Linked DNA regions of Arabidopsis thaliana. The protein of the gene in region 2 interacts with the protein of the main gene of each other region in a pairwise test. Each region holds a gene or a part of one and is shown on either strand. Other genes may lie near its edges.

Region 1 (12,250 bases), on a different chromosome or scaffold from region 2:
TACAGTAGAAACTTTATAAATTAATAAATATAATAAGTTAATAAACACGATAAATTACTAAATTTGTTATAAAATTAAAATTAATAAAATAATAAGATAATAATTTTTTGAAATCCTTGTGTAAAAATATGATCCTAATAATATCAGTAATTAATTATCATAATTCTTAAGCATACATTTTAAAATAATCTAGTATAATATGAATCTAGTGTTATTTGTCTTTTCGTACGGATCTCGTTGAAGATTATCTGTAATTTTCTATATTGCATCAAAACTCCTGGTGTCGTTTTCTCGATCTGCCTCCAAAAGTTTTGAAGAGTTTTATACTTAATAATTACTTTTTTACATGTCACTATTTCCAAAGGTTCCACATTATCTTTGAACATTCATTCTATTTCGATAATCAAGGGTGTAAATGGATACCTAGATTTGTTAAGATGAAAGAGTCGAATTGTGGGTTCAACTTTATTCCTCAAGAAATTCACCATTTGCTTTTAACAAAATTTCAACCCAATTTTATTGGGGCCCACCATAAAGCTGAAAATTTACACTTTTTAGCTGAAAATTGTCCAACCTCAAATTAGGAGAAGAACAAATTGAACGTGATAAAAATTTATAATATATTTCTATCTCTATTACATTTAAATTAATTAATTTGTTTAGAGAATCTAGAAAATTCAAATACTAAACTAATTCAGTTCAATCTTTGAATAATTTGTAATCTTTTGTTGTCGAATATAAGATATACACGAACCAACAACTATAATATCTTCTTATAAATCAGCTCAAACTTTGGACAATTTTGAATAATTCATATTTTTATTTTATTAAAACCAACAGCTAAAATCTGTTCCTATAAATATACTAATCCCATCAAGATTTATCTTTACACAAAATATTATGAACTAAACACATTTTCTTCTTTCAAAAACAATAGTTGTTAGTCAATCATGAGTGAAAGATAATATTTCTCTCTACTTATATGAAGATGGGAATTATATGAAGATCGTCCGTGATCAAATTGCTGAGCAAATGTGGTCCGCAAGTCGAAATAGTTCTCATCGACATTGTTAGATTTTATTTTAAATAATATTTTTTTATATTTAACTATTCAGCTAAATGGTTACTATTTAACATACATTTTATTTCTCTGCAGCTAATTTATCTCATTCAGCTCAATCACCATCTAGACCCCAAGATTATCAATCACAACTTCATCGTAGATATAAGGACATACTATCTTGCAGGAAAAGAAATTAATAAAATAAAAAAATAAAATTTAACATAATTGAATATACAAACGACAAAGCATAAATTTTATAAAAATAAAAATAAAAGGATTATAATATTATATTTTGTGTAAATATTTCTAATTTATTAATTTATGGTATATGATAAATTAATATCATTACAAATTAATAAAATTTCAAGGTCCCAACATTATTAATTTATAGAGTTTTCACTATATCCTAACTTATAATTCATAAAAGAAATTCCGGATTTCTATTTCTCGGATGGATTATAGATATGGTAGAATTCAAACCATCAGATAAATCATCACCACTCGAACATGGGACCGCTATACGAGCACTCTTTAGTTCTATCATTCTATGTGTAAAATCACCTTTCAAAACCTAAACTACATATCCCACTCAGTTTTGTTTCTTGTCAATTTTTTTTTGTTTTCAGATAAATAATACCCAAGTAAAATAAGACCCCACCATCTCTGTTAATCATGGGGCCAGTTCCTAAAGCGAAGCCTCACGTTTCTATCTCCACTATTTCCCTTTTTTTTTGTTGAAACTTAGAACCAAAAATATATCCATGACAAACTCAAGCACTACTACGACTAGATAACAAATAAACAAAAAGGAATTTTTTTCCCAATTGGCCACTTGCACTTTTTAGTTTTCACCCAATAAATACCTCTAAGTAACCTCTCTTTCTTCCTCCTCAAAAAAAAAACTCATTTGCTCTCTCCAAACACCAAAACCCAAAATAAGTTTCAAAGGAGAAAACACTAAAGATGCTCAAGATGTTGTCTATATTAAGAAGAAACCTTCAAAATCTTCGAAAAAGCCCGCGGGTGGCGGACGAAAGCGCGTTGCCTTCAACGACGGTTAATGGAGATCACGGGGGAGGAAACGGGAGTAACGGTGGAATAATGAAGTTTCCGCTATCGATCATGTCATGTTTTTCGGTTCCACGAGTTAGCAGGGCAGATGGTGTGTGGGTGTCGGGAGATTATGGAAGGGTCTCGGAGGTTAACCATCTCATGGTTTGTGATGGCATGAGATACGCTCTCTTAATGTAATTATATATCTAGCTCGACTTAATTTAGCTAGTAGTACATATTTCTTTTGTGTTGATGGCGTTTATATTAGGGCATTTAGTGAGATATACAAAAGCTTTTCACTTCTTTTTTCATGGTTTGTGTTTATTAAAGAACATATCTTAGCTAGGAATATTTAACTTTTTCTCTTACTCATCTGCTTTTTGATCTTTAAACTGATATATATGCTAGTGGTTGTCATATATACAAAACTTGGAGATTCTTGAATTTGATAATGATTTATGAGTTAGATGATTTATGATTTAGATGATTTATGACCACATAATATTAGGGAAATCTCATCCACCATATAAATATATATCATACACAACAAACATTAGGATATATCCATTATTAAGAAAAAGAGTTGGGATAAACTACTTTTACTTATGGCTTAGTATTTTACATTATTTAACAGAACTATGACACAAAATTTTCACTAGTCCTGAGGTTAATACTATGGCCTGTTCGTTTATTAATCGCTACGACAGCAACAATGACTCCGACGAAGGCAAAAATTATAACGGAGATACAAAAATAATCGTTCAGTATGGACGTCGGCGACGTCACTAGTGAAAATTTTGAGTCGCTGTTATTTTTGGCGACGCGTGTATATTTCTTATAGGTCGCTGTTTTAGAATTGAGCGACTCCTCTCCATATAACTCTTTACAAACTTTCAACGTAATTGTGTGTTAAACAACTACTTTTTTGATCGCTGAATCTGATCACACAGCGCGTGAGAAAAAAATAGGGCCTATATAATAAACTTGATGTGATATGACTGACCGAGATTTATAAGTCTAGTATTTTGTTATAATACCAAACCAGTGTTGTGTCACAACCTATATGTTAATTCAAAAGCGTGCATAAATATACTGTAGATGATTAAAGAATTGATATAGCCTGATTTATTAACTACTATTTAACATACAAAGAACTTGGTCCAAATGGTGAATGGTCGTCAAAAATGAGTTTAGCTAACGCGGAGAGTAGTACCAAGAAGACGACAACAATGTGGAAAATACTCATGTCCACGTTTAGTGCGACACAGCATGAACCGACCCTTTTTTAATAATCATTGCCAATTTAATTAGTTACAAAATAAATTTGTTGTAGTGCTGACTAATAAAATTAGGATTTGGATGTTCTCAGTGCGGTTTGCTCAATGAAATATCCCATCATCGCGATTGACGTTTGTTAATTTTCTCTTAAAATGATTGGTGAATTTACAAACAGTCTAGAATCTAGATTGTGCTGGATGCTTTGGACTTTGTTGTTGAAATTTCTATTAATTAACTAAGATGTTTTCATTTGCTAACGTTTCATGATTGTTTATTAAAGTTAAAACCATTATATTCGTGAAGATTATGATTAGACATGAAATACCACTGGATTCTAAGATAGGAAAAAAACTAGATTAACCCAAATAATGAGATTAATTATTAGAATATCTTATAAAATATTGGGGTTAAATTAGTTTTTTTTTTTTTTAAATACATTTTTTTTATGTGTTAAAAATAAAATAAATATAAAATTATCCTTTAAAAAAAATTCCAGCAACTTTATAAAAGTCTATCGTTTAGTTATGGTAGATTTATTCTTATTCTACAGACTTTTTTAACTGCGACAGATTTTTTTATGGCAGACCTTTTTGGTTGACAGACTTCTTAGAAGATAGTGATAACAGATTTATAAATTATAGCAGATTTAATTTGATTGACATATTTTTAATTTATTCAACCATAAATTTCATATAATTTGACAGAGTTATTTTTTTGTGGATGTTTTTTAACGATAAGTGATGGCAGATTTATAATTTTGTTAAAACAATCTGGCACATTGTAACAGATTTGTTGTCAAAAAACTAATTACTAGAGTGACGTCTAACGATAACCAATTTTTTTAATGTTATGACAGACTTGTTTTATGTTATAACAGATTCTTGTAATATTACACAATATCTGTCGTTTGATGGGAGATTTGTTTTCTAAAAATATAATGTTTTATGTTATGACAGAGTTGTTTTATGTTGTGACAGATAAATTTATATTACCATAAATCTGTCATTTGATGGCAGGTTTAATAAAGAATAAAATAAATTCCTGAATGACCTTTAAAATATTTTATGTTACGACAGATTTGTAATTTGAAATCCTTATGGTGGCCGATTTATAGTTTTCTGTTTCCATGATTTTTTTAATAGAATAATACTAACTATTGTAACAGTTTTTTTATTTTCAAAATCATATTATGACAGATTTAATTTTTTTTTGTCAATTGTTTTTAGAAATTCTTTTAAATACCACTAAAATGAGTTTTTCCAAAAACAATACTATAATGAATTTTATTTTTCAAAAATACTACAAATCTAAAACTTAATTTAATATTCAAAACTAATTTTTACATCCTAAACACTAAACCTTACAACTAAAAACTATACCGTAAATATATATAGTCAACCCAAATATATAAAAAAATTCTATAACTTCAAAAATCAATTATGGTTTTTTTTGCATATTTTTTTGTTATATTAATATTTACAGTGGTGACAATTTTTTTTCCTTGTAATGACAGACTTATTAGAGAAATTACCATATTTATCACTAAAACATTAAATATCGACATCTAGGGTCAATTGGTCTTTTTACACAAAATTTGTGTTAGTATATTTATCCATCATTAATGAGAGTCATTTTAGTTATTATTGCCTAGTTTTGAGTCAATCTAGGCAATTTTCAGTTATAAGATATGTAACCTCACATTTCGGGGTGGCTAATGGCGAATTTAATCATGTTAAAGAAAATTACAACGTTGTCTTTCATTCAAGAAGTTTTTACCGAAAGAAAAAACCAATTTTTGACAACAAATCAGTCAGAAATGACTCTATCCGATAGGTTTTTAAAGGATTTTGTCCCTCAATTTTAGATTCTCGAAAATCAGTAAGAAATTTTTTGTGATAGATTTTTAGTTTTTGATCATTTTTTCCAACATATTTTTGATAAAAACCGAACATATCTTTCTTGTTCTGAATCTGGTCAAAGTATGAAATATTTATTTTGTTCAAGACATAAAGCGAATATCTAAGTTTTGATCCACTTATTTTTTTAAGTGTATGTTCTTCACAAAATTATATTGATGAACTAAAAGTATTTTTGAATTAGAATCCTTAAGCTTGTTGCCTAAGGAATAGTGTGGAATCAGGTTTCGTGATCTCCATTGCTTCAAACAAGCCCTTCTTGCCAAAAAGGTTTGGAGAAAATTAATAATAGGAACACCTGCATTAAAGCACCATTTATAGTGTTGTCCAAAGAGACCTCTAGAGCAAAGTGAAAAAGGCAATAGGATCACAAAATAGATTTTGATATGGTTAGTGAGATTATTGTATACCATGATTTGTCATTTCGGTATGTGAAGTATGAAAATGTTAGAGGTAGAGCGATGCAGCGAAGATACAAGATTCGAGGACGAAGATACAAGATATATTGAAGGAAAAAAAAATTCTTGGCAGACGAGACCTGATGTATTTCCAAATATCTATTATTTTTATCTTTTAATTCAGTATTATTATTATTTTACAATATTCTATGGATTTTAGGATTTTATGCTTTTATTATATATAGCCTTTTTTGGCCTCCTATTGTATTTAGTTGTTGATTTGATTAATAAAATGAAAGAGCTTTCGATAAGCAGTGAGAAGAGTATTCTCAAACGAAGTCTTTGAAGTCTTTGTTTATTGGAATCCATTGAACTCCAATAACATTAGAATTCCGAGCTACGATTTTCCTGCTTGAGATCCATTGATACTCGATATTACTTATGTATTCTATCCTAGAAGCTTCCGCTACGTCATAGAGATCAGATTCAAACCAAATCAAATCCAAGTTTATAATCCATACAACACATCATATTCAAGTAGACAAGCACTCGTATATAAACAATGAACATGAAACATATTCGACAATATCAAACTCAAGCACAACATCTTTCACAAAAACAAATCCAAAAACATAAAAACATAGATGTTTTAAGCTTTTAACTATAAAACCGTGTCATTTCTGGGACCATGGAAGCTTTTGTCTTGTATTTAAGATAATCAAGCTTACATCCTTCTGTTAGTCCATAAAATATGGCTCGTGAAACCTCATCTTTTGCAAGGAGTTCTATAGATTCCCAGTAGAGGGGGCACCAAAAAACCATCCCCATAACCTTGTCTACTTGCTCAACAATAATGGCTACTTCATCAGCCAGCGAGCTAGGTTTAGATCCCATGTGTGATACAAAATCTGCAATTTTATAAGAAAAAGAAACAGATTTTAGTTTATCAAAGTATTGAGACGGATAGATCTACGGATTTTTCCAAAAACAATAACAGTCTAAGTTCATCTAACCATAGAAACTTAAGAAAGAATTGTAGTTGAGTGAAAAACAGAACTAAGCAAGAGAGCAAAAATAAACCCGAACAAACAGATCTGAGAGAAAAGCTGTGAGGAAGAGAACAGATTTTTTTTTGATCATACAAATATTCTTTCTGATCCGATCAATACATATTTAAACATTAATTAGCGGGCCGTAGCATGAAGTGATTAGTGTAGTGGACACTGGACAGTTTAATTTGTATTTTAAGACTGAACAGAAAAAGCCTCACTACAACGAAATGTAATAAAAGAATGGTAGTGTCTCTTCTCACACGTATGAACCACATCTTTATTTTTGTCCAGATTAGAATTTAGTAACTAACTACATCTTCTATTTGACAATTTTAACTAACTACATCTTCTATTTGATGATTTTAGAGTATATGTAAAATACAATTAGTAACGTAATTTGTTAATTGTGGTTCAATAAGCGACAATAATCTTTTCTATATTGAAAATCAAAATCATTAACACCAAGTTGTATTAAAGATCAAATCATAACCATGTGATCTCTTCCACGATTCTTCAATTATGTTTCTAACAATTTCACCCTTTGATGAGGGTATTCAATTTGCTGTTTCAGTAGTTTCTTTTTTTTTTCACTGTCAATTTCAGTAATTTATTTAAAAATAATTATTGCTATTCACATTGTATTTCTCAATTAATACTATACATGTTTCTATTGGATCCTTGGTCCATGTATACGCCAACTCCGTATTTGAGTTTGTAGCTTCTGAATGTTGTACCAAAAAAGAAGAAAAAAAAACGACCAAGAGCTTTTGTATATATATTTGATATTTTAATTTGTTATATATAGTAAAATAAATGCCTCGGTAATTTCCATCAAGAGCTTTTGTATATTGGATGCTACGATCATAATATATAGTAAAATAAAAACATATCATTTACAAAAAAAAAAAAGAGGAAAACTAAAACGCAAAAACCCTAGTGTATTTGATACAAAACCCTAGTATATATAAAGAACAGAAAACCCCTCGCATGATTGGTAAAGTAGTCTGAAGACATGGAGACGTGTAACGGCTTGATGAGAAAGAATAAGAGACAAAAAGTGTCTAGAAATAGTGATTGGTCCAAGCTTTGTCCCGATGTTTTGCGGAAGATATACGAAACCTTAAGGAGCCCTGTTGATTCTCACCGCGCAAAAATCGTTTGCTCGAATTGGTATTCCGTTTGGAAAACATGCGTGAAGAGGCCTCTATGTCCACTGAGGATAATTCACCAAGGCGATTCTCCCACCGTAGGAGACGGCAACAGAAAACTCATGGGATTCTCCTACAACAGCTATTGTATGGCTAGCTCCGGAAACTGGCTCCTGATGGTTGATCGTTGTCTCAAATTCTATATTTATAACTTGTTGACGAAGGAAAGGATCGATCTTCCATCGATGGAGTCAAAAATACGTGGCGGGCAAGTAAGCTTCAAATCTAAAAGCAACAATTACAATTTTGGATACTTGGTCGGGCCTTCTCGTAAGGATGATATAGTGCCGTATGACTATGAAGCCGTTGAATGGAAAAAATCATTAGCTGTTCTGTGGGTAGACGAGACAACAGGAGATTATGCAGTTGCTTGGACTTTTATGCGACAATACTTGTTCTCATACATAAAAGGAGATTATTCTTGGTGTAATCTGAATCATAATGGGAAAAGTTTGGTTTTGTTTGATATGGCTTGTGAGAACAATAAGCTTTATTTGTTGACAATGGATCATCACATCAAGATTTTCAATTTCTATGGAGATTTTTTAACAGGAGAACAAAACCTGTATCCGTTTAACTTCGTTGAGGATCCGTCGGAATACGTTTGGAAGAGGAAGATAGTGATTCGGAGATCAGGAGAGGTACTGATAGTCTTGAGCTTGAAAAAAAAAGTGCAAAATGAAGAGAAACTTTTGTTTTACATCTTTAAGATGAATCTTGAGAGTCGCAAGTGGGAAAGAGTTTATTGTATTGGAGATGAGATGTTGATTTTTGGTCGTGGGGTTACAGCTCTTGCTCTTGAAGATCTTGATGATGGGATAAAGAGTAATTCAATCTATTTCGTCGGCGAAGATGTTTGGCCAGATCATCAAGAACATGAGCATCGTGTTTCAAATTGCGGTTTCTTCGATATTGCCACAAGTAAGATCGAATGGCCTAAGAAAATCTATTGTTTCATTAATCAAAATCAGTGGTTTGTTGGGGGAGTTGCTTATTAGGCTTTATTGAATGTAGGAAGCTGATATAATTTTATTAAAATTTCTAGTGTTATTCAATGATTTTTGAACTCTATTTATTCTTCTATATTCTAATGTTTTTCAGTTTATTGATATTTTGAATTCTATTAGTTATATGGTTTTGATGGTAATCTCATTCGAAAATTATTTAATAGAAAGTTTAAGGATATATTTACTTGACCCTTCCAATCTTTAGAGAGGTGATGGACCATTTATTGATTATCACCTAGACGTTAAAACGGCACCGGATTTGTCATAGGGATGCATAAAAGTTGTAGGTTCTGATTTCATTGAACAATAGAGAACAAAAAAACTGATAAGATGGGTGATCATTAACAGAAATAAGAACAACATATGATGGATATAGAATAAGAGAAGGATTACAACGATGATTAGAAATTTGTGTAAGGTTGCAATGATCTAAAGCTTCATTGCTTGTTTTTCTTCTTAAGCTCCTCTTTGCTATCTTACTTTCGCCTCTCCTCTGTGTGGTAGTAAGAGTTAATGTAGATATATATAGAAGAACCATCTTCGTGCTCTTTTATTTATTTTCAGCTTTGACACAAAAGTTTCATGATTTCACAAGTATTATATGTTATCTTTCATCTTTCAACAAAACTTCGCCAACGGTTTATACAAATTATTTAGAGTTGATTGATGCGTTGAGATTTGAAAAACAGAGTGTGTCTGGTCTAGTGTTGAATATGAGGTGGTTGTTATTTTTTTGTTGCAAGAGAAGTTTTATATGTTCCTGAATTGATTGTGATATTTATTGGTACTGCATTAAGAATCTTATATGTTCCTGAACTAGTGAATACTGCCAATTTTTTTATCTCCTTATGTGAAGTAAACCGTCTTTGCTCATATATTTTGGTTTCTCTTTCACTGAGCAAAGTCGATGAACTGATCAAGAGTCTCTTGGATTTGTGCTTCTGCACTTCTTAAGAGGAAGGTGTGTTGACTTTTCGACTTGTTCTTTGTGTTCTTGGATATATGTTCTTTTCGACTTTTATACTTCTTAAGAGAAAAAAAACTAGTTAACATTGTTTCTTTAGCAAGGTAGTGATTTTTTTTTTTGAGATTTAGAGATTGTGGAAAACAATTTGTATACTACCGTTGGATAATGATTTTTGTTTCAAAAATAAATACATACAAGCTCTCTTTTTATAAATTTTTCCAATCATATATATGAAAGTTGACGAAGTCTCTCCATATGAGTAACACATCATCACACAAGAAAATGACATGTGTCATTCTACATTAATGAAATAAAAAGATTAACAAAACTATTTGAGGAAAAATCAAAAGTTTTTGTTGTGTTAAACCCTCCATTAATCTCACTCTTAAATAATTTTTCTAAAATATTAATAGATAAAAAATCATAAATATGCATCAAACACTATTTTTATTATACTCAACTTATTTTATTGAATTTTGTTTATTAATAGTCATTAATCCATAATGGCTAATAATTTACCTGTGTTGTAGATTTACTTTTGTTGTTGTTTAAATACTTGCTACCTAATCTCATAATAATTTAGTAATCTTACTTGGATATTTTCTAATTATTACGTTTTGTAAATATGATTTATCATATGATCTTCTTTCTTTTCATTTTTGTGCGTTCTAATAACTTGGTAACATTGACATACAATTTTTTCACGTAATGGTCCTTTGAGACGTTAAAAATACCAAAAAAAAATAAAATAAATGAGACTCTATATGACTATATTTAAGGGATGAGATCTAAAGTGTTGACTTAAATTACTATCATATTAGGATGTGGTTGGTGTACTAGATGACGAAGGAATATATGAAATAAAGAATTGTTTGTTACAATTAAGTTAGACAAGTTTCAAACGACATAAGTAACATAACGACATACATTGGATCAATATATCATATATTATTGTTTTATGTGTTCATGATAGTGAAAAATTAAGATAATAGATATATAAATATCCATATAGTAGTAAAAGTGATATTTCGAGTTATAGATGAATTTAATCATAAAAACTTATAATTATATAAAATAGATATGAATTTATTAATTACATAATAACACAAACATAAAATAAAGATCAAAATCAACAAAAAAAACTATAATCATAATTTTTTTGACAACTTTAAAAACAAAAACCCATGCGTAGCATGAATGTTCATCTAGTTAATATTAAAGAATGGTAGAGAGCCCATGAGAAGGCTCTCACCATTGGAGATGGTCTTAGAACTTTACCTTGTCGTTTTGGCATGACATTAAATAGTGTAACTAACTTGTCATGCATTAGTTTATTTCCGTCGTTGGTGATCTCTTATGATCTTATTTGGATTTTTAAAATAATCATTTTATTATTATTGTTATGATTTGTAGTAAAGTCCTTCTAAATCTCATCTAAAAGACTAAAACCAAGAGATTTTGTTTTGTGTGTATTAAATTAAAGACATCCTCTAAAGTCCTTTAAAGTCATTAAAGAATCTAATGCTTATAATGTTCTCAAGAAAGTTAGATTTTAAATTACTTTTTAAATCATTAATTCAATACTTTGTTATGGTTTATATTTTTACTTTCTTTTATTGGCCGCTATCTTTTAACAATTTGCTAAAAAATGCATAGTGTTATGTTCCAAACGTAACTTAGACGAAGGTATTACTTGGTATAATAAATGAAAACCAAAACCCTTTGGTCTTATTTCATGCTTATATAATTGAAAACCCTAGTGCGATCGGTGAGGTAGCCGAAACCATGGACATATCTAGAAATAGTGATTGGTCCAAGCTTTACCCCGATCTTTTACGCAAGATATTAATAAAATCTTGAAGAGCCCTGTTGATTCTCACTGAGCAAAAACCGTTTGCTCAGATTGGTATTCCGTTTGGAAAACATGCTCGAAAAGGCCTCGATGTCCATTGTGGATCATACATTATGGTGATTCTAAGACCAAACAAAGGAAAACAAAAGTCGCCGGACTCTCAAAGACAAGCTATTGTATGGCTAGCTCTGGATATTGGGGTTTGATGGTTGATCGTCGTCTCAAATTCTATATTTTTAACTTGTTTACGAAGGAAAAGATCAATCTTACATCAATGGAGTTGAAGATCCGTGGCGATAAAGTAAGCTTCCAAGGAGGAAACAAAAACTCAAGAGTATGGATATATGGTCGGGCCTTCTGGTAAGGATTATGTGTCGTATGATGATGAGACAGATTATTGGAAAAACTCGTTAGCTGTTTTGTGGATAAACGAGACAACAAGAGATTATGTTGTTG
Region 2 (13,326 bases):
CCAAAGTCTCTTTTGGCCTCTTGAGTCTTCCACCAGCTTACGAACCAAAACCATTTGTCGCAATATTTTTTCACATTAAAATACAACTATTTGGCTGTAAACGAGAGTTATCAATATAAGGCAATGGCTCGTAATTAAGACACTCGATCTCATCTCACCGCGTAAAAGATAGTTTTGTCCGATCCGAATCACATGTGCAAACAAACAAAACTTGAGGCTGTGATTAAAAGACAACGTTTCGAGTTTATTGCTTTGATTATACTGATACAACAAATACATAGTGAGAACAATTTCCCTAAAGATACATGTAGTATAAACCATAATTTCCATTAATAAATGTAAAACCACCACAAATTCATATGGCAGCGCCGCCGCCGATCCCCCGTTTCCAGGCGGTAAATTCTGAGACATAGAAACGTCAATTATCGCCGAGTCACCAGCCACGTCATCGTTTGGATCCGATGATGTGTTATATTCCGATTCTACCCTTGTGGATCCCGAATATTCCATTGTTGTCCCTTCCTCTTCCGAAGCGTGGCATCTAACTTCCACCCAACCATCTGACTCCCAAATTACTCCTCCGGTCGTCGCCAAATTACAAATTATTGCCTTCGCCGCGTCTTCGAATTCTGATCTCCCTACTTCCTCTTCTTCTTCTTCTAAGTCAAACCCCGAGTTGACCCAGTCAAGTACGCAACGCGGAGATGACTCAGTCGGAGATGAGTTGTGACACTGAGAGAGAAATGGATGCTGCAAAAGCTGATCGCAACTCCACCTCTGATTCGGGTCTCGCTTCAGACACTTTTCTAGGAAATCACGGCCGATTTCCGACAACTTCGAGGGGAAAACCGGTAACTCGTCAGAGAAACTGATTCGACTCAGCGAGTCAATTCCGTGGTCTTCCCAAGCGGGTTTCCCAGTGAACATCTCGATGATCGTGCAGCCGAGAGACCAGACGTCACTCTCCGGACCTTGGTACTCTCGTCTGATCACCTCCGGAGCCATCCAAAGCGGACTTCCACGTGGCGTGATCAGAGCCCTCGGTGTGTGGATTCTGAACGCCGACCCAAAATCGGCTAACTTGACCATGGAGCTTTGGCTGACGAGGATGTTCCTCGCCTTGACGTCGCAGTGAACGAATCCTTGAGAGTGTACGTGGCGGAGAGCAGAGACAAGACACGCCGTGTAACGCTGGAGCAGAGTCTCGTCTTCGATTTTTCCTCCGGCTCTGTGACTAGCCACGTCACCGTTTGGGAGATACTCTAAGTAGAGATTCCTAAACGTCGTCGTTCCTTCTTTCGAGACTCCGTCGCCGAGAAACTTCACGATGTAAGGGTGAGGCTTTAGCGAGCGGAAGACAGATATTTCGTTCTCGAGAGACTCTGATTGAGTGGGGAGACTCGTGGCGAGATCCACGGATTTCACGGCGAAAACTTCACCGTTGGTTTTGCTGATCGCCGTACTAACTGCACCGAAACAACCTCTGCCGATACACGCACCACGAACCCAAAAAGAAGATGGTGAGGATAACATTAAAGAAGAAGAACAAGTGTTTCTGATGCTCTGTTTCTCCATGTGTGCCAACTTTCATATGTCGTACTTGTGCAACACGAAGCTATTTATATGCGTGTTTTGGAACTGCAAAACAGAAAATGTGAACGTGAAATAAAGTTGCAATTTTTTTTGTTTCTGACATGGACTATTCTTGTACACTTGTCTTTTCGATTTGTAAAGTCTCATCTTTGTAAAATTTCCCACGTGGATATGTCATGTACAACACAAACTTTCGAGTCTATCATTAGATTTTTGAACAAATTATACCATGTTCGATGGTCGGTTTGGATTTTAACAATTTTAATTATATATACATCTATTGAAATCTAGACTTAATCCTTACAAATTTTTTACTTTTATGGAATGATTAGTCGTTTTGAAAAGAGAACAAATAAATCAGAAAAAGGATCATTTTAGAAATTAGAAGAAAATGTTTTATGTCACTCCTAATGACACTTGGAGAAGTTCTTGGGATGTTTTTAAGAAACAATGCACTTGCCCTGTCTCCTTAATCCTTATCCACCAAGACTCAAGTTGCGGTTTGATCTTGTCCGCTAATATTTTACTCAGCAAAGATAAAATCACACACACCCTCTAGCTTCACGCAATCGTTTTCGTTTTTATAACCTCAACATTTAAAAAATCGTCTCTTTACTTAAGTGATCGGATCACCGATCGTGGAGAAGACAAATGAACAAAAACGTGCCTATAGATTTGGAACGCTTGATTTATTGACTTATTTCTGGTATGTTTCTATTTGGTTGACCTGAAGACATGATCAGACATGGAATATACGGTAGTCGACGTACGTACAAATCATTATCAAGGATTCATGAATCCAAACCATGTCTTAGCCAATCATAAGCAATGGACATAAATTAATTTATATTCGTCAAACAATTAACATAAAGAAGGTGAGGGTGTACAGTAACAGAATATATACGCGAAGTAGATGATATCCGAATAAATTATCGGAGTTGTCAAAGGGGTTGGAGATGAAGGAAGAGGTTGCCGAAAGGGGTTGGGTTTTAAAAATGGGGGTCCATTTGGAAACTTACGTGGCATGAAGCGGTTGGCTCACGTTCTTTGACATATTAACGAGTTGTCTGAACACACATATTGGGAATTGACGTGCTTGATCAACCTCCACGCATAGTGAAAATATTATATTAGTTTTTATTCTTTGTTTGGTTGGGATCATGAAGGAAGCACAAGAATTTACTCAAAAACGTTATCCAAAGATATCACGGAGATCGAGTTGAAGATGGAAGGTAGAAAATAAAAGATAGGGTTTTAACTTTTAATTGAGGAGATCGTTGGTTGGGAATTAATCTTGGGATGGTTAATAGCCAGATCACTACAATAGTATCTTTCTTGGGATTTATAGTGGGTTGGTAGTGGTAGAAAGATCAAAGTTTTGATAACATATCAATTTAGTGTTTTGAAACTACGATTGAAGTTTGGTCAAAGCTTGCTAATGATTTAGCTAACCATTAGAATTCGAACTTTTATGCATGCACTATAATCTTTCTTTGATCTTTGAATTATTTCAAAATACAGAAACCTTTCTTCCATTAATTCCAAAAGAAAAAAAATGCCGCCGCAACTAAATTATATATGTACTTTGTTTGTTGTTTCTCTGGCCAAGCTTTGACCTTCCGCGAACGTGAAGTGCTATTTGAACGGTCCACCACTGCTTCCATATCCTCTTAGGGCAACTAATTTCACCTTTTATATATGTGTGGGTGAATAAATTACTAGAAATGTCCAAAACATAAGATATTATTTGAAGATTTTTAGGACCCATACCATATTTTCCAATTTGCATGTCTAGGAGAATCCACTTGGAAAACAACTTAAGAAAATGACATTGCACTATGTACTTAATACCGTACTAAACTTTCAGACTTTTCAATATTTTATAGGATTAAGGTAATGGCTAAGAGCCTAAGATATTTATGAACTAACGTAGTTAAGAAATACGCGTCCATATAAACGTAAAAGTAAAAAACTTTCAAAACATGAATTTTATGAACTCTTGAAACAAACCAGTACTAGCCTACACATTTAAGTCGATCCACATTATCTCATAAAAGAGTAGTAATATATAATGTATTGAGTGGTAAAGTACTCACATACAACTTACAAGCCTTAACGAGTTTTTACATAGAAGACCTATAAGGCTATAAGGATTATCAATAGAGAGTAAAGACAGTCTAAGATGGTATACACAAGTATCATAACAGCTCAAATGACTAAATGAAGTTAAAAACGAATAAAAGAATATGTGAATCATTCACAGTGAATGCTTAGAAAACAATAAAAAATAAAATGTAAGAAATTAAGAATGACTTCAGACTCTAACGTTGTTATTCTGTCTCTACATTTCTCCTATGGTCAGAAGAGGTGGCACAACTGAATCAACATCACACTAATATCGTCCAAGGAGCCTCGTGATACAGAGAGGTCAACGAGCTTCTTGCAAGCCAGCAATGGCTTCCGTTTCTGATCGGTCCCTTTGCAAAATGGTCGAGCTATGTCTACTGCCTCCTGATTACTAACCTTGTCCCATAGACCATCTGATGCTAAGATCAAGAACTCGTGTTGGGGATTGATTCGGAGAATATTTATCTCTGGTTCAGATATTATCCATTGTTTGAGATGAGCATCTCCTATTCCTCTAGATACCGCTAATGATCCTTGAATTCTCCAAACACTATTGAATGTATCCACATAACCGCCCTGCAGGATTATCGTAATCAGAACCATGTAATCATGATAAAACCTAACAGTAACTTCTTTTGCAAGAATTCTTACCGAGCTCTCAATTCTGTTTCGTTCATCATCTCTGGAAGGGCGGTGGTCAGAAGTCAAGGCCTCCGCGAATCCTCCAACGCTCAAAACAGCACGGCAGTCACCAGCATTGGCCACCACAAGATTTCCGTCGCTGATCAGAGCCGTGACACAGCACGAGCCGCCCTTAACGTTTTTTTCCTTGAGAAACTCAGAATCAGTCGCTAGATAACCACGTTTTACAGCTTCTTCAATCTTTGACTCGTTCCTCCCACCAACTATCTCGCCAAGAATGTTACTACACAAGTTCTTAGCCGCAAACTCAGCCGCTGTTGGTCCTCCGTGACCATCATAGACTCCGAATATTGCCTGCGGTTATAAAAAAGCTAAAAATGTTAAATCCCCATTTTGTAAGTCACTGGATCTATCTTTTTTTTTTTTCTTGAACACTAGTCATTGGTTCTATCTAATCAAGAACTACTCATACAATTTGTCATATATATGATTCACTGAATTTTCTTATAATCTTTAGAACTTCTAATTTGATTCATTGAGTCAACAACACAGCATAAATAAATTTTAAGTTATATATTACCCATCTTCAAATCGCAATTCATACTAATTAAGCAATAATCAGTAAATAAACTCGAAATTACGGAAGAAAATTGAAATTACCTGTTTGGGATCTCCTTGAAGATTAGTGATGGCAGAGAAACGATCCTCCATAGCTTCTCTTTTACCTCTCTTGCAATAAACAGAGTAACCATCACCTTCCCTCTCCACTGCTCTACTCTCCTCCCTCGGCGTATCTGCATTCGATATAGGAGCTGCAATACCAACCGGAGCCACCGGTATATCAAGCGTCGTCGGTCGTTTCCTCTTCAGAATGCTTCCCGGACCAGAGTCCGATCCAAACCCTAGTTTAGCCGGCGGTTTCAGGAGACGGAGGCAGAACGGAGATGTGGGAGACGCGGCGGAAGGAGAAGTAGAAGAAACGGGAGGATTGAGATGGGAAAGAGACAGGGTTAGGGTTTCATGTGCCGGAGAAGTGTTCAACGGTTTGTTGCAGAAAAGAGACGAAGACGGAGAGAACACCGGTGAGTTGCAAACGGCAACTGAAGACGACATCGTTTCGTAGAAAACTTAAAAGTTTCCTTTTTCTGATGATTGATTTGATTGTTAGTCTTCTAGACGTTTGTGTTTCTCTGTTTAGTGTCAACGAGAGAGAAGAAAGAGGCTTGAATATATAATATAAGACCTGGACAAGTCTTTCTCTGTTTCTCTGTGGCCGTTGCTTCTTCTTCTTCTTCCAGGTCAAACGTTACCACTCTCATCTTTCTCTTTGACTTTTTCAAATCATGAATCCACCGCCACAGTCCATTTTTTCTGCTTTTTCTTTGTCAACTGCGATTTTCCAGAAATTAAATGACTTTGGGAAGATAAAAAGTCAAATAAGGCCGAAATAGGAAAGAAATCAACACCTAAAATTAAAAAGCCCATCAGGAAAGCCTTTAATGAGATAGCCCATATTAAGTCGGACCTACATGGATCTTTAGAAACCCGACCCGGGTCGTTTTATTTGCAGAGCCATCTCTTGTTCGGATCGGCGGCTCGGAGATCAGGGATCGCTAGTTCAGACACCTTCTCTTCTTCTTCGTTCTCCTTCGAGGTTAGTTTCGATAATATTTTCCTTTGTTGTTTTTTAACTTTGATTTATGCGTGATAGATGTTACTGATTCAGAAATTTCGTTCCGTGTTCATGTTTCTCTGAATTCTTAGGGTTTAGCGTTGTCTATGCTTATTCTTTTGCGCCGCTCCGTTTTGGGCTCGAACAGCTTTCTCTTGTTTATCTGTGTTCGATTCAGCGAATTGATGGTTTCCATTGTTGCTTCGTTTCTTGTTCACTTTTCAGTGAACTTCAAGAATTTACCGTCGTTCCATTGATTTAGCTAGAATTGGATATAGAAAAGTTTCAGCTTGAGTGGAACTGTAAGTAGAATAACTGCTGCCTGATAGGTGTTTGTTGAAATGCCTCTGAGAAACAAAAATTGTGTTTTCTTTACTTTGTTAACCAATGTTATTTGCAGGTCAAAATCTTCTTAATCGAGGAAGAGCAAGATCTTCTTTAAGCAGTCATGGCCAAGCATCATCCTGATTTGATCATGTGCCGGAAACAACCTGGCATTGCTATTGGGCGACTGTGCGAGAAGTGTGATGGAAAATGCGTCATATGTGATTCCTATGTCCGCCCGTGTACTCTGGTTAGGATTTGCGATGAATGCAACTATGGTTCGTTCCAAGGGCGGTGTGTCATATGCGGAGGAGTTGGAATCTCGGATGCTTACTACTGCAAAGAGTGTACACAACAGGAGAAAGATAGAGATGGTTGTCCTAAGATAGTCAATCTTGGCAGTGCCAAAACTGATCTGTTCTATGAACGTAAGAAATATGGATTCAAAAAACGATAGTAGTTTGTTGTTACTTGAGCTATTGATCTTTTATTTATTGATGCTAGGAAAGTGTCTGTACTTGTCTTGTTTGTGTTAAGGAAATTTTATCCGGTGAAGTAATTTAAGACATGGGTTCAAACTAAGGATTATGGTTTGTTGATTTAGTCAGCCTTATTACCATTGCTATGGTTGGTTACTGTTTCTTAAGTGGTTGTCAATTATGTGATTGTTAGCGTTTGGTTGTCCATAAATATGATTCAGTTGGTGGATTAGGCCTCGGAAGTTTTCTGGAGAAACACCGTCCCTCTGTGTTTGCCAATGAATTATCTGACTCACAAAATTAACGTAATCTTGTGTATAAATCAACTTCATTCTTTTAAGTTTTAACAGCATTACCACTTGTGAATTCAGCTATGATTGAATACATAGCTGGGCGATAACTATAATTTTCTAGATAAATGTCAACTTAAAACTTTAAAGAATACGCAATAACTCTGACTCTCTAACGTCGACAAAAAGGTTATCATCCATTACATAAAAAACCCCACATGATCGTCAGAATTCAGAAATATTCGTTTTCAAAGTAAGGAAACCCCAAAATCCCTTTTTTGGGCCAAAAATATAGACGTTGACTTTTTATATCGGACGGTGCCTGTAAGTCAACTGCCCATGCATGTTCGCTTCGTTTATGTGTTAACTGTTAACTTAACAGTGTGGAATCCACAATTTGTCTGCAATAGTCAACTCCTATCTCCAATAAGACAATGACACGTGTTAAACATCAGCTACTTTATTTCGAAACAGATCCTGTATTTCTAGCCGAATTAATTCAATCATAATCTAAATAATTGCTATTTACGAGTCAAAAAATATTTAGACGAAAATTTGATATTGTAGCTAGCCATTAAGAAAAACGTTAATTTGTAAGAAACGTTTACGCTGATGATTTATTCAGGGAAGACCACTGAAACAATGAAACACAAGATTTATATAGTGATGTAAAATGTTGTAATAGACAGACTTTTAATATCAAAATATTTCAAACCACATGCCTTTGCAGGTATCTACACCAATCTTTAATCAAAATGTTTTAAATTTTGTTGTGCCCTAATTCCTTATAAATGTATTTTGCTCGAATTTGGGTTAGACATTCAAAATGATATGTTTGTAGGAATGCTTCCATGTCAATAAATTGCACTATTCCGGTTATGTAGCACTGTCCGAAATATATATATTAAAGTAGTTTGAAAAATAAGGTTAATTAATCTTTATTATTAATGAATACATTTCCATTTCACGTTTATAAAAGGAGAGGGTTACGAGAGATATAGTTGAATAGAGAAGAGAAAGAGGAAGAGAAAAAGGGGAAAGAGAAGAGAAGATGGTTTTTTGTTATGCAATTCGGCTGTGTTTATGCATTTTCTTGGCACTTTCAATCGTCTCTTCGGCTCGACTAACTTTTTCATTTTCAGGTAAGAGAAATCGAGCTCATCATCCTATCTACATACAGAAAAGATCAAATTTTGGAGTTGTATATAAACTCCTCATTCGAATTTTGAAATCCATAATAGTATATCGTTGGATTAATTACTTTCGTAATTATCTAAGTTTTAGCTTCGTAATATATGTTAAACCTGCATGCATGACAGAAAACGAAAAGATGATGGTGAGGGGTAGATCATTGATGGTGAGCACCAACGACTACGGCGAGCCATCGGCCAACGCCAAACACAATCCACCTGGAAGGCGTCGTGGAGGAGGTCGGAGAGGGTAAATAAATAAAAAGATAAAAATAAAAAAATATGGTTTTGGATACATTTAAGATCTTTAATTTTACTCATTTTCTCTCAGTATGTCATCTCTTTATATACTGAACAATAAAAACCTTCCATCAAATAATACGTTCTGATACATTAATAAATTAGTAATGAACACCTAGACTCGTATCTTCTAATCTCAATGTTTAATGAATGGTAAAAATAATTATTTAATTTTCCGTGGTCAACAATGCATAATCTTTTTATTTATTTTGTCTTCTTACCTTTCAAAAATTTCTCAACTTGTCAACAGAAAAAATAAAAATCCCAATAACAAAGGTGACAACCGAAACAGAAGCACATGACCACAATGCTAAAGATGGATAAAAAAAATAGAGCAAAAAGAAAGACAAAAATTTCAGTAGTCAAGAGTATAATTAAGCACGTATAATTTGCAAAATTTTTATTTTATTTTTATGAACCGTTTGGTGTATATATATAATCCTTGCTTTCCAGTTTTGATGATCTTTTTGTGCTACTTTGTATGCGGTTAAAGATTGTTGTAATAGGCAAAGAAATCTTAAGTAATGCCTCAGCTGTTAAACGTTGTGATCTCCTCTGTTCAAAATATTTCAAGTTGATCTTACTTATGGTAATGCTCTACTCGTGATTGTGAGTTTGAACTAGTCACTGTTAAGGTTTTCTTTATAATTGATTGTCAAGCTAATGAATAAGTTTGTGAATGAGGTTTTAGAAAGATGCATGATTGGAAGTTGTGTTTAGTAAATGCTTCTCATTACAACTAGAATTTACTATAGAATCATAGAACGGCCATAACCAAACTTCATGAGTCCGGTGATATTATTGGAATAGAATTCACATAATTTTCATACTTTTGTTACTTAGACTGTCTACATAATGCCACATAATGAAAATTTGAATTAGAAAACTTGAATACTAAATCTACAGATATTTCAAGTGACTTCTAATGTATGACAATAAGACATTAAGACCCCTTCCATATCATGACCATTTCAAACTCGTGTCAATATGTAACCCATTTATCGTGGGCCATAAACCCAAAATAATAAATCATGTATATAAACGGGCTATTGGGCCATAAACTAGTGATAATAAGCTTTGGGGCGACGATCTCTGGATACGTCACCCCTCGCGATACAATTACAACCGATCAAGGTCAGCGAATACTCCGACATCCTTTTCTTGCGGCCCACATCGGTCTTTAGTGAATCACATGTTTTTTCTATTGTCGTTTCTTGCGCATCAAGTTCTGCTGAGGTTTCTTGTTATTTTATTTTTGAAATTTTTCAACACCTTTAACTTATCTCGATTTTGTTTACCACTTAAAAAACGCCCAACCAATGGCATACACTGAAAATGTTTTCTAAACATTTAATATTTCTGTGGCTACCAAAAAGAAATCAAGAGTTATTTTCCATTTATTCTGGGTGAAAGAGAAACAGAGTGCCACCTGTCATTTCCTAATCTGGCACGTAGGTTTTTCTCATACGTATTACAGTGAATAATACAGTATACCAAAGGCGGCTCGTAGCAGAGTTTGTTCGATTCTCTTAACCACATTAGGTTTGGAGTATTATTTGCTTCTCTCGATTGAAGAAGAGTACCTAAAGAATCATGTTGTGGATCAAAAACCTAGCAAGAATCTCGCAGACCACTTCTTCGTCTGTCGGAAACGTGTTCAGAAACCCCGAATCCTACACTCTCTCGTCCCGTTTCTGCACCGCTCTGCAAAAGCAACAAGTAACCGACACGGTTCAAGCAAAGGAGGATGTAGTTAATGCGTTGGAGCCACAACGTTACGACGGTTTGGCTCCGACGAAAGAGGGAGAGAAGCCGAGAGTTTTGGTTCTCGGGTCGGGTTGGGCGGGTTGTCGGGTATTAAAAGGGATCGATACTAGTATTTACGACGTCGTTTGTGTCTCTCCTAGGAACCACATGGTCTTCACTCCTCTCTTGGCTTCTACTTGCGTTGGTACGCTTGAGTTTAGGTCTGTTGCTGAACCAATCTCTCGTATCCAACCGGCGATTTCACGAGAACCCGGTTCTTATTACTTCCTTGCTAATTGCTCCAAACTTGATGCTGATAATCATGAGGTAATTGCTAATTGGATATTAATATTGGTGAAGTTCTTGAAATTGAGGAAAAGTCTTGCAGATGTATCTATTTTTGTAGTTTTATGTTTGGATTTTTCTACAATTTGTGGATGTAGAAGTAGTTTCGTTTAGACATTGTTTCAAACGCTAATTTTGCGTTCACATTTAGGTATATCAAAATTTCCAAATTGTAAACGCAAACGCGACTTTTGTGTTTGTGATGAAAGCAGAGTGCTTTGGACTGTTGTATATGATATGTGTGAATCATGCTCTTGGTTTAAACAGGTGCATTGTGAGACTGTAACTGAGGGGTCTAGCACATTGAAGCCATGGAAGTTCAAGATAGCTTATGACAAACTGGTACTAGCTTGTGGTGCAGAAGCATCCACATTTGGAATTAATGGCGTCTTAGAAAACGCCATTTTCCTCCGTGAGGTTCACCACGCTCAGGAGATCCGTAGGAAGCTTCTTCTTAACCTCATGCTCTCTGAAGTTCCAGGTATATATAGTAAACAACACATTCATCATCCACTTATTTATTTACCTTTGAACCAAAACTAATATCATTACACGCAAATTTATATATTAGGCATAGGTGAAGATGAGAAGAAGAGGCTGTTGCATTGCGTTGTGGTTGGAGGTGGGCCAACTGGTGTTGAGTTTAGTGGTGAATTGAGTGATTTCATCATGAAAGATGTTCGTCAGAGATATTCTCATGTGAAAGACGACATTCGTGTTACTCTGATTGAGGTTTTCTTAGCTTATAACTTCATTGATAAAAACTACTATATATATGATCTGTTTCATAAATATGAAATTTTGTCCATTGTTTCTTTCCAGGCAAGGGATATACTTTCTTCTTTTGACGATCGGCTAAGGCACTATGCAATCAAGCAGTTAAACAAGGTTATTATAGTTAATCCATATGCAAACTTCATATGCTTTAAATTGAGAGAATTTGGATTTTGAAAATCTGCTAGTTTTGACTTCAGTCTGGAGTGAAGCTTGTGCGTGGGATTGTGAAAGAAGTGAAGCCTCAGAAGCTAATCCTTGATGATGGCACTGAAGTTCCTTACGGTCCCTTAGTCTGGTCAACTGGTGTTGGTCCATCTTCATTTGTGAGGTCTCTTGATTTTCCTAAAGATCCAGGTGGAAGGTATGTTAGTTCCAATGTCACAACAGAAAGCTTGTTCTGTTTTTTTCCCTCCAAAAAAACATTTTCTGATCTTGGATCACTCTGTTTCGATAGGATTGGTATTGATGAGTGGATGCGTGTACCTTCTGTACAAGACGTGTTTGCAATTGGTGACTGTAGCGGTTATCTCGAGAGCACAGGGAAATCAACACTTCCTGCACTTGCACAGGTCTCTAATGTTGTAAAAGAATCTATTTACTTTTTTTCTATACTCGGAGTCTTAACATACAAGTCTCTTTGATCAATGAAGGTGGCTGAGAGAGAAGGCAAATACTTGGCGAATCTGTTTAACGTGATGGGAAAAGCTGGAGGAGGACGGGCCAATAGCGCAAAGGAAATGGAGCTTGGGGAACCATTTGTGTATAAACATCTCGGAAGTATGGCTACTATTGGGAGATACAAAGCTCTCGTTGATCTCCGTGAGAGCAAGGTATGTTTAAAAGAAAAGGCTCTCATTCTCTTTCACTTAAAAATCCCTCAAAACACAATAATAGTAGATAGCTAAACTCGAGGAGGGAGTTTTCTTGTGCAGGAAGGGAAAGGAATATCAATGGCAGGTTTTCTGAGCTGGTTCATATGGAGGTCTGCTTATCTGACTCGAGTCGTCAGCTGGAGAAACCGTTTCTACGTTGCTATCAATTGGCTCACTACCTTTGTCTTTGGTCGGGACATTAGCCGAATCTGATCCATATCCCCTCCACTTCGCCACGTGCTTCTTCTTCTCTATGTCTCTATCTTGTTCACTTTATGACCTCTAATCAGTTGAAATCATATGTTGTTTACTTGGAACAATTCAATGAAATTCAGCATTTTAGAAAGACAGGGTATTGACTTTGAAATTGAATCATCTGGTTTGACTGATAGTCAATTTAAATGGTATTAACTTTTGACTAAGCACAGTTAGTTTTCAACATTTTTAAAATTGAACAATTAAATTGAAAAAACCTATAAGCTATGGTTAAAGATTGATTAGTAAAAAATGTTTGCTTTTGCATAAGAGTAGAAAAAGTTTTATGGGTTTAATATTTTTTGTATCAAACATTTGAAATATTTCTTGTATATCTGTAAAATTATTTTAAAATATCTATTATAAGATTTATATGAGTTTTCCACTTCCACATGATTCATGTGATACAGAAAGTGCATCTCAAAACTTCTAGAGTTTCCCTACCAAAAAAAAAAAACTTCTAAAGTTTATTTTTCAAACTTCTCCTACAACTCTTTTTTCATTTTCTTCTCTCCTTTTTTTTTTGTTGTAATTAGCTTACATCGAATACACTAGATATAATAAAATAAGTGGATAGTCTCGAATTCGGTTTTCGATCAAGGACAAAGCTAATGATGGCTTGCGGCACAAGTAAGCTCCGATGTTTTAGGTTTTTACTTTGTTTTGTTGTGGGGGGGGGGGGGGGGGGGTTATAATTAATAATATATCATCATC

Evidence for each region.
Region 1: the proteins of AT1G07160 (region 2) and AT2G04800 interact in a two-hybrid assay, tested with the Arabidopsis thaliana proteins (one large-scale study listed by BioGRID).

What each region holds. Positions count from the first base shown.
Region 1 is NC_003071.7:1,681,001-1,693,250, forward strand, and holds AT2G04800 (uncharacterized protein), read right to left. Parts: upstream 6,940-12,250; 5' UTR 6,789-6,939; exon of another isoform or gene 6,617-6,788; 5' UTR 6,603-6,616; coding exon 6,366-6,602; 3' UTR 6,173-6,365; downstream 1-6,172. Other genes in the region: AT2G04795 (uncharacterized protein), read left to right, coding at 2,027-2,314; AT2G04810 (F-box only protein (DUF295)), read left to right, coding at 7,773-8,966.
Region 2 is NC_003070.9:2,194,204-2,207,529, forward strand, and holds AT1G07160 (Protein phosphatase 2C family protein), read right to left. Parts: upstream 5,571-13,326; 5' UTR 5,476-5,570; coding exon 5,023-5,475; intron 4,717-5,022; coding exon 4,372-4,716; intron 4,297-4,371; coding exon 3,952-4,296; 3' UTR 3,651-3,951; downstream 1-3,650. Other genes in the region: MAPKKK13 (mitogen-activated protein kinase kinase kinase 13), read right to left, coding at 76-1,575; AT1G07170 (PHF5-like protein), read left to right, coding at 6,483-6,815; AT1G07175 (alternative NAD(P)H dehydrogenase), read left to right, coding at 8,179-8,269, 8,447-8,567, 8,868-8,919; NDA1 (alternative NAD(P)H dehydrogenase 1), read left to right, coding at 10,211-10,690, 10,976-11,189, 11,280-11,440, 11,531-11,596, 11,683-11,846, 11,940-12,054, 12,136-12,315, 12,418-12,570.